Arabidopsis thaliana: one gene and its partners. The protein of the gene in region 1 interacts with the protein of each later gene in a pairwise test. Each region holds a gene or a part of one and is shown in the gene's direction. Other genes may lie near its edges.

The links.
Region 2: the proteins of AGL102 (region 1) and AT1G33760 interact in a two-hybrid assay, tested with the Arabidopsis thaliana proteins (one large-scale study listed by BioGRID).
Region 3: the proteins of AGL102 (region 1) and AGL103 interact in a two-hybrid assay, tested with the Arabidopsis thaliana proteins (one large-scale study listed by BioGRID).
Region 4: the proteins of AGL102 (region 1) and AGL78 interact in a two-hybrid assay, tested with the Arabidopsis thaliana proteins (one large-scale study listed by BioGRID).

The regions. Positions count from the first base shown.
Region 1 is NC_003070.9:17,570,845-17,573,873, forward strand, and holds AGL102 (AGAMOUS-like 102), read left to right. Parts: upstream 1-1,569; 5' UTR 1,570-1,606; coding exon 1,607-1,885; intron 1,886-2,039; coding exon 2,040-2,315; 3' UTR 2,316-2,529; downstream 2,530-3,029.
Region 2 is NC_003070.9:12,236,040-12,239,210, forward strand, and holds AT1G33760 (Integrase-type DNA-binding superfamily protein), read left to right. Parts: upstream 1-1,507; 5' UTR 1,508-1,904; coding exon 1,905-2,459; 3' UTR 2,460-2,671; downstream 2,672-3,171. Other genes in the region: AT1G33750 (Terpenoid cyclases/Protein prenyltransferases superfamily protein), read left to right, coding at 1-309.
Region 3 is NC_003074.8:6,416,844-6,420,337, reverse strand, and holds AGL103 (AGAMOUS-like 103), read left to right. Parts: upstream 1-1,833; coding exon 1,834-2,994; downstream 2,995-3,494. Other genes in the region: PGSIP1 (plant glycogenin-like starch initiation protein 1), read left to right, coding at 1-398, 855-1,127. UniProt on the Arabidopsis thaliana protein: Probable transcription factor that may function in the maintenance of the proper function of the central cell in pollen tube attraction.
Region 4 is NC_003076.8:26,108,687-26,111,903, forward strand, and holds AGL78 (AGAMOUS-like 78), read left to right. Parts: upstream 1-1,639; coding exon 1,640-2,665; 3' UTR 2,666-2,717; downstream 2,718-3,217.

The DNA.
Region 1 (3,029 bases):
TTCATCTCCAAAACGAGTTTGATAATGCATGATTTCGGTTAGACTATTCCCTTTACAATGCATGAATTTTCGATGATTTTTGAAGCCTTAGTCCATTGGTCTCGGATCGCCATGTCATTTGTCGTAGATTGCTAACTGATGTTGCCGGTAAAGTATTTTTGAATATATCCTCTAACGTTTCGTTGTCGAGTTGATTAATGTAGATATTTTTCATGGGTCTTCGGCTGAAAAACAGCTCAGTACGGAAAGTTGGTGCTCCAGCTAAAATTCCATGGAGTTAAATAGGGTCTCTAGATTTGCACTGAACTTGTTTTAGGGTTTTCGATTGCATGGTCGAATCACAGATCCATCCAACACCTCTGGTGTATCGGGTGAGGAATCTTCTAGTTGGATGTGGGTCCATCCAACACATCTTGTGCATCACATGAGGAATCTTCTAATTCGATATCCACATCAATTTATTTGACCTTTTGTAACACCCTGGTTTCACAAAATATGGTGGTGCATGCAGAGAAGTTTTAAAAATTTGATTTGACCACCTATATCATCAAATTGCACTTATTTTCAGTCAAACATCTGAAAAGAACTTCATAATTAAGCGTGCTTAAGTTAGAAAAATTACAGGGAATGACCTTCCAAGAAGTGATTGTCGCAACTGTATATGAGCGAGGATAAAACACGAGAAAATATAATGTGGTGATATGTAGGATCGGTAAACAAGCCTTTAAAGCCTCGTAAACGTAATGGATCGGCTATCGGGTAAGAGTGAGCCCGTGAGCCGAGAGAGGACGTGGGGTCACTAAGAAAGATGGAGGTCGGGGAGTTACAAACGGTATCAGAGCCAAACCCAGACGAATGTGGAGTTAAGAGGGTTAACAAAGTCGATTGTGACGGTCTTGATGCGCAACCAGGACGATACGATCTGCTAGAGGGATGAATTGTAACACTTTAGTTTCATGAAATATGGTGATGCATGTAGAAATGTTTAAAAGAATTGATTTTGACACCTATGTCTTTTGATGGGTGAATTTAGGAGAAGTGATTATTGTCGGATCCGTGTGAGTGAAAACAAAACATGAAATAATAAAATAAAAAACTCCTTTTAATTTAGAAAAAGTTGTTACCAAGTTTCATCAGTTTTTTATTTTCATTTTATTGATATGTCGTGGCTAGTGCGCATGTTTGACGCGTGTGAGTTTGCATTTTAAAATAAAATTTGTATATATGGAATGATATGTAGAGATACTAAATCTAATTTATAATTATTACAAAATTTGTATTTTTCCTAAATATTTTCTAATGAAAGATAAGCATTACAAAATTTATACTTTCTTCAGAAAATATATCTTAAGAATTTGTTTGGAATACCAACTCTTGACTATTATGATAAATTTGTGTAGTCAGAGTTATAAAGATATTTATGGTAGTAGTTAAAAGATAAATATATTTAAAAGGTAAATTCAAATATTTTAATAAAAAAAGGATAACAAAGATAAAAAATTATAATTAATGCGTTAAACCTACTTGAACCAATCCATCTATAAAATGGAGTAGAGTAGTAACAAAAACAACACCAACAACAAAAACATCTCTCTAAAACTAAGAAATGGGTCGTAGAAAAATAGAGATAAAATTTATTGAAGATAGCATCGAAAGGAAAGCGACGTTTTCAAGACGCCGAAATGGCATTTTTAAGAAGGCTGATGAACTCGCGAAGTTGTGTAATGTAGAGATTGCTGTCTTGGTCATCTCCCCCACTAATATACCATACACATACGGTTATCCATGCTTCAACGATGTGGTTGAGCGTATTCAAAATCCTAGTGCTTCGTCCAAACTCAGGAGTCTCATGAAAGAATTGGAACAAATCAAAGAGTTTCAGGAGGTATGTTTCCCATCATTAATATAATCTCATCCGTTAGTTTTCCTTCTTCTTCGTTCTCAACATATAGATTACAAAGATGGGTTTGCTATTATACACAGAATTAAATAATCATTATTTATTTTATATTATATAATATTTTTTTTGTCAATTTTAGGATTTGAGGAAGAAACAGCAAAGAAACCTTGAAAAGTCCAATATGAAAGAGAATGTAGATCTGAAATTGGAGGACTTAGTTGCTTTCAAGGCGAAACTCGAGGCCTATCAAGCAGGTTTAAAGAGGAAACATGTAGAGATGGAGGATTTGTCTTCTCCATCGATACTCTCAAAGAATACAAAGAATAAGATGATGAGGACCGAGTATTCGTCTGGACAGAGCAAAGGAATGTATGAGTTTCGGGCTTTCGGCCCAGGATTTCTTGGAACTATTTAGAACAATCGTCAAAATAAATATAAATATATAATTATTTATATCATATAAATCAATTACCGTTTATTTTTCTTTCCAAAAGTTTAAGGAATAAATTTTGGTTGCTTTAGTTTGAAGGAAGTTGTGTCCTCCATCTTGTTATCTTTTCAATCGGATTTTCGTAATGAAATGTTTTTTATATATAAATAATATACAATATATGTGATAATTTTGGAAAATATGTCAAAAAAATGTGAACTTTCAAATTTAGAACAAAAAAACATGAATTTTCGAAATGTCACTTAAATACCAAAGTTATTGTTGACTTTAGAATTAAATAGATAACTTTCGTTGATTTTGCCATTTCGGGTAAAACGTTACGTCAACTGACGAAAAAAATAACAGAATTAAGTCTTTTTTTTGTCATAAGATATTATTTAAGACTTAAACGAGCCAAAATTACGGGAAATTAACAGAATTAAGTCTTCGGTTATAAATTCTGTTAACTTATAAAACAACGTCGTTTCAATTTCTTTTTTTTTTTACAAGTTGAGGAATTGAACCCGCAACCTGTGAGATATAACAACTTTCCTTTACCGACTTAGCTCGCAGTTATTTATATGTTCTCAGAAACATACATATTTCTATAGGTTATAACAAAATGCCCAAATTAATAAAAATTTAGGGTTTCGATCCCCTTTTTCACAGTCTTCCCAATTTTAAAAGTTCTTTCCAAGA
Region 2 (3,171 bases), 5.3 Mb from region 1:
ATAGCCGGCTTCGAGGAGGAGATGAGGAGAGGAGAAGTGGTTAATGGGGTGAACTGTTACGTTAAGCAACATAATGTTACCAAGGAATTGGCGGTTCGAGAAATTAAGAAGATGATTAGAGATAATTACAAGATAATGATGGAAGAGTTCTTGACGATAAAAAGTGTGTCACGTCCGATTCTGGTCCGGTGCTTCAACATTGTACGATTGGTCAATCTGTATTACGAGGAGGGTGATAATTTCACCAATCCCAATGGCAAGCTCAAAGATCTCATCACATCTTTGTTCTTCCATCCTCTTCCGCTTTGAAGACTTGGCTCCTTGCCGAAAAATTCATCTACATTTCTCTTTCCATTATTATTGATGATTGTTAATTTGCTCTATGCACATATTTTTCCATTAAATTTTAATTCCTGGGGTTTCAATTAGTTTTTACTATTTTAATTTATTTTGCATAGAAGTTTTTTTTATAACTTTCACTACCCACAACGACAAGGAAAGTTGACCAAAAGAATGAAATAATATCATAATTCATGTTTATATACGTTATACTATTCAATTCTTAATTCATGTTTATATACGTTAAACTATTCAATTCTTAATTATGTTTCTTTGCAAATAATATTAAATTACACACATGAGTTCTTGAACCAAGGAACGTATAAGTTCAAAAAATAGACTGGAAAGCAAAACTTTGTTATACTTGTTGAGTTCTTATGTAGGATCCAAATCTTGTAGATAAGCAACAATATATAATGGGCGGTGAGATTAAGACTGAAAGTATTTTTTTGACCACCGGATGGACCGTACGGATTTCCACAATTCGATACGGTGTGGTTGTTAGTGCCTTAGTGGCGGTGGTGACCATTATGCAGCCATTTAACTATTTAGGGTTGGAATTTGGCTCATGAGGTTTTACTACACATCAAGAAATTATTTGGAGACAGAGCATCGATCTTCTGCTGGTCGGGTTTTAGAATTTCATAAAATCAAATTTTGGTTAATTTAGATGGGTTTCTTTCCCCAATTCTTCGTTATGAACAATTCATTATTTTGGTCAACTTAATTGTCTATGACTCTATGGGCAGTTACATAATGTTACTATCATATTTGCTGTCAAGACTCTTGAGATATGGCATATATGGACTTTTGTACGAGAACCTAAAGTTCTAACCAACACATGATATAAAGGACTAATTGCTTTTCTTTTCATTTGGTCTTACAACAACAAAACACAATATACTACTTTGACTTAAAATAATTGATCTTTTATATGAAACACTAATTTATCTCAGTATGAACTATGAAATCTATTTCCTAGTTGAAAAGTTTAAATATTTTGAACTTTTTGATCAAGTTAAATATCTATAATCTAACTAAGGCCCAGAATATACCAAATATGAAATATATTTATCAAGGCCATGTCAATTTTCTTGGAAGGCATGTACAAAGTTTTTACTGAAAACATATTTGATGTGTAAAAAAATATTTCTAAAAAAATTTAGAACCCAAATCATATAAATATCAAACTTGTCTTCAATCAAAAAAATAATATTCAATCAGCGTTTTCTTTCAAATACACACAACACACTATTTGTACACGCTTAAAGACAGCTTTGCTAATGTACAATATCCATGTAAGTAATAGAGACCCATGCATGCATGACAGCATATTTCCACTTCACAAGTAACTACGTAGGAAGCTCACTTCACCTGAAACCAAACAAGCCATCCACAAATTCTATTCCCTCATTTATTGTCTTCTTTATTTCTCTATATATACAATTTCACTTAACCACTGACTCTATAACTCAAAACTTCTAAACTAATTCGCACAGTTCTATATACACTCACAAACACACACACACACAATATAGTGCTACTAAAATAACCTTGTATTAATTATGGAAAACACTTACGTTGGCCAACGAGATTACCGCTTCAACGTTAACCAGTTGTCCTACAGAGGCATTCGTCGGAGGAAATGGGGCAAATGGGTATCGGAGATCCGAGAACCCGGTAAGAAAACAAGGATTTGGCTTGGAAGCTACGAGACGGCCGAGATGGCTGCAGCGGCCTACGATGCTGCGGCTCTTCACCTCCGAGGACGTGGGACCAATCTCAACTTTCCGGAACTCGTCGACAGTTTTCCTCGGCCGGAAAGCTCTAGTTCGGAGCACATTCAAGCGGCTGCACAAGATGCAGCACTTATGTTTAAACCAGGTAGGTTGAGTGAACCAGCTCTCGAGTCTGGTCAAGGACTTTCTCGAGTAGGATTGTCTCCGGATCAGATTCAAGCGATTAATGAGTCTCCATTAGACTCGCCGAGGATGGGGTGGATGCAGGATTTGGAAGTTGCTGACTACGAAGAATTATACGGACAATTTTTTGGTCAGCACGATAGGGATGAGTTTTTTGAAATGCAGCAATTTCAGTCCATATGGAATTCTAATAATTGATATACGTTCGCTTAATTGCTTAACCATTTGATTTTTTTTTTAATAATGTCATATCATCAACCAAGGTTTTTCGATTATATTCAGTAAAGTATAATAAATTTTCGACCCTTACTGTTTTTCTTGGGTTCAATTTGTAATCTCTTAACAATGATGATGTCATAAATACCAATATGATTAATTCAAATTTTCAATATATATGTAATGTTTTGGTTCCTTGTCAGTCAGATAGTATCATATGGTTTATACGAGAAATAAATATAAACCAAGGAAAAAACTCAATCCAAGAAAAAAAAATGTTATCTTATAAAAACTTAGAAAAAAGGGTGGTTACCTTGTGCTTCGTCTTCGGTTTTCGTTGTGGTATTCGTTAAATTGGAATAAGACTAACTCCGAAAAATAGGTAAGATTATAGACCAAAAACCTGAAACTCCTATGGTTTATTAAAAACAAAATTATTTGATGAAAGTCCATTATGTAGACACATATAACCCATAATATATACACACGAGCTGACGTGCACGTACCAATTCGTACTATGGCCGCCTCAAAAGTACAGGTTTATTCCATATTATAGTGAGCATGAGTCCGTTGAAAAGCTTTGATTACCTAAAGATATACTATAATCAGTATCAATAACAACTGTTGCAGTCAATATTATATTAGTATGAAATGTTTTAATTGTCCCATACGTTCAGTTTTCTGTTAGGCCTAA
Region 3 (3,494 bases), on another chromosome or scaffold:
CAGGAAACAATGGAACTCTGTTTAATTCAGGAGTTATGGTGATCGAGCCTTGCAACTGTACGTTTCAGCTTCTGATGGAACATATAAACGAGATTGAGTCTTATAACGGTGGAGATCAAGGTTACTTAAACGAGGTATTCACATGGTGGCACCGGATTCCAAAACATATGAATTTCTTGAAGCATTTTTGGATTGGCGATGAAGATGACGCGAAACGCAAGAAAACAGAGCTTTTTGGAGCAGAGCCTCCTGTTCTTTATGTTCTTCATTACCTTGGGATGAAGCCGTGGTTATGTTACCGTGACTACGACTGTAACTTCAACTCCGACATATTCGTTGAGTTTGCTACCGATATCGCTCATCGAAAATGGTGGATGGTCCACGACGCCATGCCACAGGTGATTCACTCTCTCCTAAAAACCTTAATAGAACTCAAAAATCACATAATATTTTCAATCTCATATTGTGATCAATATTCAAAATATTATTAGGCGTTTAGTCATGCGTTGAGAGACTAACTGCATAGCATTATTTCTTTCTCAAAAATTTCCAAAACTTGAAAAAATAAATAAACTAAAAATTACTTACTACCCAAGTTTAGAATAACCATATGAAATTTGAATATACGAAAATCTTGGTGGGTTAGTAAATGCAGAATTAGCCCCCTACGCAGTAGGCATCAAGTTTTAATGTCTATGTTTTATACACCTTATAAAAAAATCATTTCAAATTTTCTTTCTTTATGATTAGTTTAAAAAAACATTGGTTGGCAGAAATATAAAAATAGTTAGACGTTTTCCCAAATTATTCTAAAATTGTGACGGTTAGTAATTACCATATATGATATTTTGCAGGAACTTCACCAATTCTGTTACTTGCGATCCAAGCAAAAGGCACAGCTGGAATATGATCGCCGGCAAGCAGAGGCCGCAAATTATGCCGACGGTCATTGGAAAATAAGAGTAAAGGACCCGAGATTCAAAATTTGCATCGACAAATTATGTAATTGGAAAAGTATGCTGCGGCATTGGGGCGAATCAAATTGGACTGACTACGAGTCTTTTGTTCCCACCCCACCAGCCATTACCGTAGACCGGAGATCATCACTTCCCGGCCATAACTTGTGACGCAATAATTATACATACTTATTAATGGATTTCATGAGTTTTTTGGTTTGAATTGTTGCTGCGAGATTAGGTGAATATCAGTTGTGTAACTATATCTTTTTCCTATAGTTTGTTCAAATTGAATAAAACATTTTTTTGCAGTTTAACCACAAAATAAAACATATGTCGTATTTATATGCCATTTTTGTATACAAACACAAACTCAAAAATGTTAGTAACATTCAAATAGTTTATACAGAAACGATAGATTATAGACTTACATATAGCCAAACAACACAAATTAATTGATGTAACTAAACATATGTAGTATAATTAAACTTTCGAAAAATCCAAATTTTTAGTCGAATCGCAGTGTAGTATGTATACATTACGTATAGTATATAAATCTATGTGTGTGTATATCAGTGTATGTATTTGTGTATGTATGTACATGTGAAAAGAATCTCTACTAAAGATTTCCATAATATTCAACCAAAAACCAAAGTTTTCCTTATTAGTAAAACTACACCTTCGTTAAACATATAAATTGATTCTATGAGAAAAAAGTATATTAAAAAAGGCAATGAAATCTTCACCGCTTTCATTATTGATTCGTCATTAATTACCGAGCGAGACCAAAAATAGAAATTCTCGAACTAAGGGTTTTATATATTCGCAAACAATGATCACCACCTCTTCATTCAATTCACAGAGAATATACACAACCATGGCTTCTTCTTCGTCCTCTTCTCTTTCGTTTTCAACATCGAAGAAGAACAAAACCTTTTTCAAGAAACCTAATTCTGCTTTTTCTTCTTCGAGGGCCACAAGTTTGATCAAAAGACAACAGACTGTCTTTAAGAAAGCTAAAGAGCTTTCAATTCTCTGTGACATCGATGTCTGCGTCATCTGTTACGGATCAAACGGAGAGCTTAAGACATGGCCTGAAGAGAGAGAGAAGGTCAAAGCCATAGCTCGAAGGTACGGTGAATTAAGCGAGACGAAGCGTCGCAAAGGAAGCGTTGATCTTCACGAGTTCCTCGAGAAGATGAACAAGGATGATCCCGAGAAGGAGGAGAAGAAGAAGATTAAAGTGAGACGTGTACCCAAAGTCAAGTATCCAGTTTGGGACCCTAGGTTTGACAATTACTCTGTGGAGCAACTCATGGGACTGGTTCAGTCCTTGGAACGAAACCTAACCAGGATCCAACATAGGACTTGCGCTGTTGTTGAAGCTCAGGGGCAGAGGAGGGTACAGTACACGAACATGGCTAATCAAGAACTGATGATGGCTAATACGATGAATCAACTTCAACAACACTCAAACCAGGTTTCCATGTATCTGTGGAACCATGGAAACGGTGCTTTCTCACAAATCCCAGTCTCAGCATTGGCTTCAAACCAAACGCAATCTCTAGCTCCGATTCCGCCTGAACTGATGATTTACCCGAATTCGGATGCGGGAAATTACTCGGGGTCTCTCGGGGTACAAGGAACTGGGATCAATGGGCTTCAGAACATGAACATGTTAACCTATAACAACATCAACAGCGTTAATGATTTCTCAAAACAGTTTGACCAGAATTCCAGAGCGGAAAGTTACTCTAGCTTACTTGGGGTACACGAAGACGGAAACAATGAGTTTGAGAACCCTAACATGTCCAGCCGCAACAACTTCAATGTTCAAGACTGTGCAGGGTTACTTGGGATGCAAGGAGCTGGAACTAACGGGTTGCAGAGCATGAACATGCATGACTACAGTAACAACAACAGCATTAACTCTAATGGTCTTTCGCATCAGTATGTTCAATTTCCAACGTACAACAGCCAACATCAGGACCGGGTTTTCAATTTGGATCAAAACGGAAACAATACTAGGTCTCTCTAAGATCTATCACAATCTCTCTTATAGCTTCATAATTTTTGGTTTTTAATATCTCCTAGTTATATAACTAAGAAGCATATATATTTATAACTTTTGGTTAGTGCAATTATCAGTTTGAGACAGTATATCGATCTCCAAGTTTTCGATTATGTCTACTTTTATTTATTAGTGTAATGTGACTAAAAGACTAATAATGTCTCCCATGCTAGTGACTCTTTTCTTATACTACTTCTTTTTTTTGTTATCCTGAGATTCTTTTGTTTGTTATATTTATTGCTGAGAATTAAGACTAGTAATGTCTCCCATGTTAGTGACACTTTTCCTATACTTCCTCTTTTGTTATTCTGAGATTTTTTTTGGTTTGTTATACTTATTGCCGAGAATTTGATTATACGATTAATGTTTGATGAATAAAAAAACCCTAGGCAAGCTTTTAAGTTTTAAGACGGGTAAAGTAAAACACAATCAGAAATTACTTAAGCTAAAAAAATACTTTAGCAGCT
Region 4 (3,217 bases), on another chromosome or scaffold:
AGGAGTTAATGCATAAAAGTTAATGGCTACGTTATCTTTTACACAAAGTAATGTTTATGCGTGTATTTATAATGGGGTCTTGTTGGTTTGTTTTAATTTATTAATCTTTGGAGGACTTTAATAATCAAATTTTCACGACGTTTATGTAAGAAATGAAGCCCTAGCTCTGAAGAGATCAACCATTTGATTAATTTTAACCCGATTTTACGCAATAAATTAAGAAACGAATGCAATAAATTCTTAATACTAAGATCAACAATTAGTTTATAACTTTATATTTTACCCGATTTTACGCTTTATATATCGTCATGAAATCTCTCATGTTTGACTAAGGGGTATTTTTTATACCATGGACTTTTTGCTCAAAACCTCAGTTACAAATAGAAATAAAAACTCTTACAATTGATGGAAAACAATCTATAGGGAGTTTATTTATTTATTGACTGCAATCAAATATACTATCAAATAAAGAAAATTGGATTATGAAATGAATCTAAAGGGATACTTCAGCAACAGATCCCACATAACATAATCCAATAAGAACGTTCAGAGATATACACAACAAATAAGAATGTTAACTTTCATGATCGCAAAACAAATCTTAATACTTTACCATTCAAGTAATATATTTAATGAGGCATAAACAATTTATATTTCTTTGTGATTGCCAATCACAATGTCGTTTTATATGATTGGTACATTTCATCTAACAAAGAAACGAGTCTATTTGTGAGTTGAAAATTCGTGATTTGTGGTTCACTATTGGATCGTCGTTATCAATCTGACATTAATTGTACCCTATTATATATATTGTTGTGTCTATAATAAGGCAAGCTGGTTACTACATTTGTCGACTTCCACATTCCCAATTATTGTGTATTTTCTTGACTAGCTAATACATATATAACAAGAATTAATCTTCCACAATATGAATTGTGATGCGTTTACAGTGGTAATTTTGCAATAAACAGAGTGAGTATATATATACCCTTCGAACATTTAGTTTTAATTATTTGAAGAGTGTTTTTATGTTAGTTATTTTTCACAACATTCTGATTGGAGAAACAATTTATAGATTTTTGAAAACCCTTAATTAACAACTATAACGTAAAAAAAAATTTGAAAAAAAAAGAAAAAAAAAAAGATAGAAGAAACCTAGAAATAAAATGAGTTGAAATCTTTCTTCAATTTTTTGAAAACCCTTAATTAACAATTAAGAGTTTTTTTCTTAGAGACAGATTTTCCTTTTTCCTCCAAGTTTTTGTTGCACAATTAATAATTACACAATCAAATCTATAGTATTTTTTTAATTAGATCTTAATTTTGTACAGCCTAAAATAAAGTACCATCGAGAAACTAATTAAAAGTTTCCTTTTTTTTTGGTCTCTACCATCGAGACATTAATTAAGGAAATCTACATTAGATATTGGAAATCGAATCGAATCGTAGGAGCGTAGATCTTCACGCCTCGCGATTAACAACGACGCGTCGCGTTTGCTTGTTCCCGTAGGCACCAAGGCATCTATATAAACATATTGAGTTCACAATGTTTCACCCTCAATTCGACAATACTTCTTCTTCGTGTGTTCTCTCTCTCGGAAAAAACCCTAGTTTCTTGCCGAATCAAGGCAAAGTCACGATGAAGCAAGCTTCTTCTTCTTCTTCGTCACGTAATTCAACAAGTTTAACAAATAGACTTAAAACCATCTTCAAGAAAGCTGAAGAGCTTTCGATTCTCTGTGCTATTGAGGTTTGCGTCATCTATTACGGACCAGACGGTGAACTGAGAACATGGCCTAAGGAGAGAGAGACAGTGAAAGACATGGCTTTGAGGTATAAAGAGGCCAGAAAACGCAAGAAGAGCCGCAATCTTCATGAGTTCCTCGAGAAGGAGAAGGACAAGGACAAGGGGAAGACGAATTTGAAGAAGAATTGGTATCCAAACTTTGATCATTACTCTCCTCAACAACTCTCTCAATTGATTCAGTCCTTAGAACGGACTCTTTCTACTCTGCAAGAAAGGCTTCGTATTGTTGAGGCGCAGAAACTACAGAACACAAACTTGGTGCATCAGAGTTTAACACCATCGTATCTGAACCAGACCCAACACTTGAATCCTAGCAAGTTCTCGCTGTTTATGTACAACCATGGAGATGCTACTCTCTCACAACTCCCACTGTCTGCTCCACACTCCAATCAACTCATCAATTACCAGAATCACTTGATGCAGCATGGTTTTGGTCAGAACATGTGTTCGGACAACATCACCAACAACAACTTTGAACATCCTGGCGTGTCAAACACACAAGACTACTCACCGTTACTTTCGGTACAAGCATCTGCAGTGAATAACTACGGGTTGAATAATCACTTGATGCAGCAACAGGATCAGCTTCATGGTTTTGATCAGAACATGTGTATGGTGAGTGAAATCATCAACAACAACAACGGTCTACAACATCCTAATCTCTCAAACACGGTTCCACATGAATTCTCTTCTGATTTCAACCAGAACCCTTATGGTAATGCGGTCGGTAACATTAGCTTCTCTCAAGACATGTTTTCAAGCTATGATGCGAGCAGTCTGCTACAGACATCTTCTCTGCCACCTCTCCACAACATTCCTAGCAGTTATTGTTTTCCTGGCAACTCAAGACTTCTCTGATAACAAAATCTGTCCAAAAGAATTTGTTTTTTTGAAGCTTCATTAAGAGTCAGTCAATAGTTAAGTAGCAAGCGGATCGGAGAGAGATTGAAGCTGTTTCTGCTTCCGATTTCTTCTGTTACTGTTTTTTTTAATATTTTATAGTGTCATTATAACTGCAAAACAAATCCATTTGTTTTTTTTTTTTGTTAAGAAAACAAATCCATTTGTGGAGATTTTGTTTTTACTTTTAAGTTGATACTTTTTTCAGTTAGTATTGACATATATATATGAACTTCCATAAAAAATCTTTCACAAAAACTTGCATGAAACAAATTATAATCTTAAAACCTTAATTCTTGCAACTTAGTATCCTTCTTGTCTGAATCAACTAATATATACAAGGAGATGGAGAGTGGATCTGAGTTCGTGAAGCCTCTAGACTTTTTGCAGAAGAAGAATCTCTGTGTAGTTTCTGAGTAATGGTATGAGGAAGAAGATAAAGATTGAGCTGATTGAATATCTGCAATTAAACTAGCCCTTGTGTTTTATCAAGAAAGTCGATATCACATT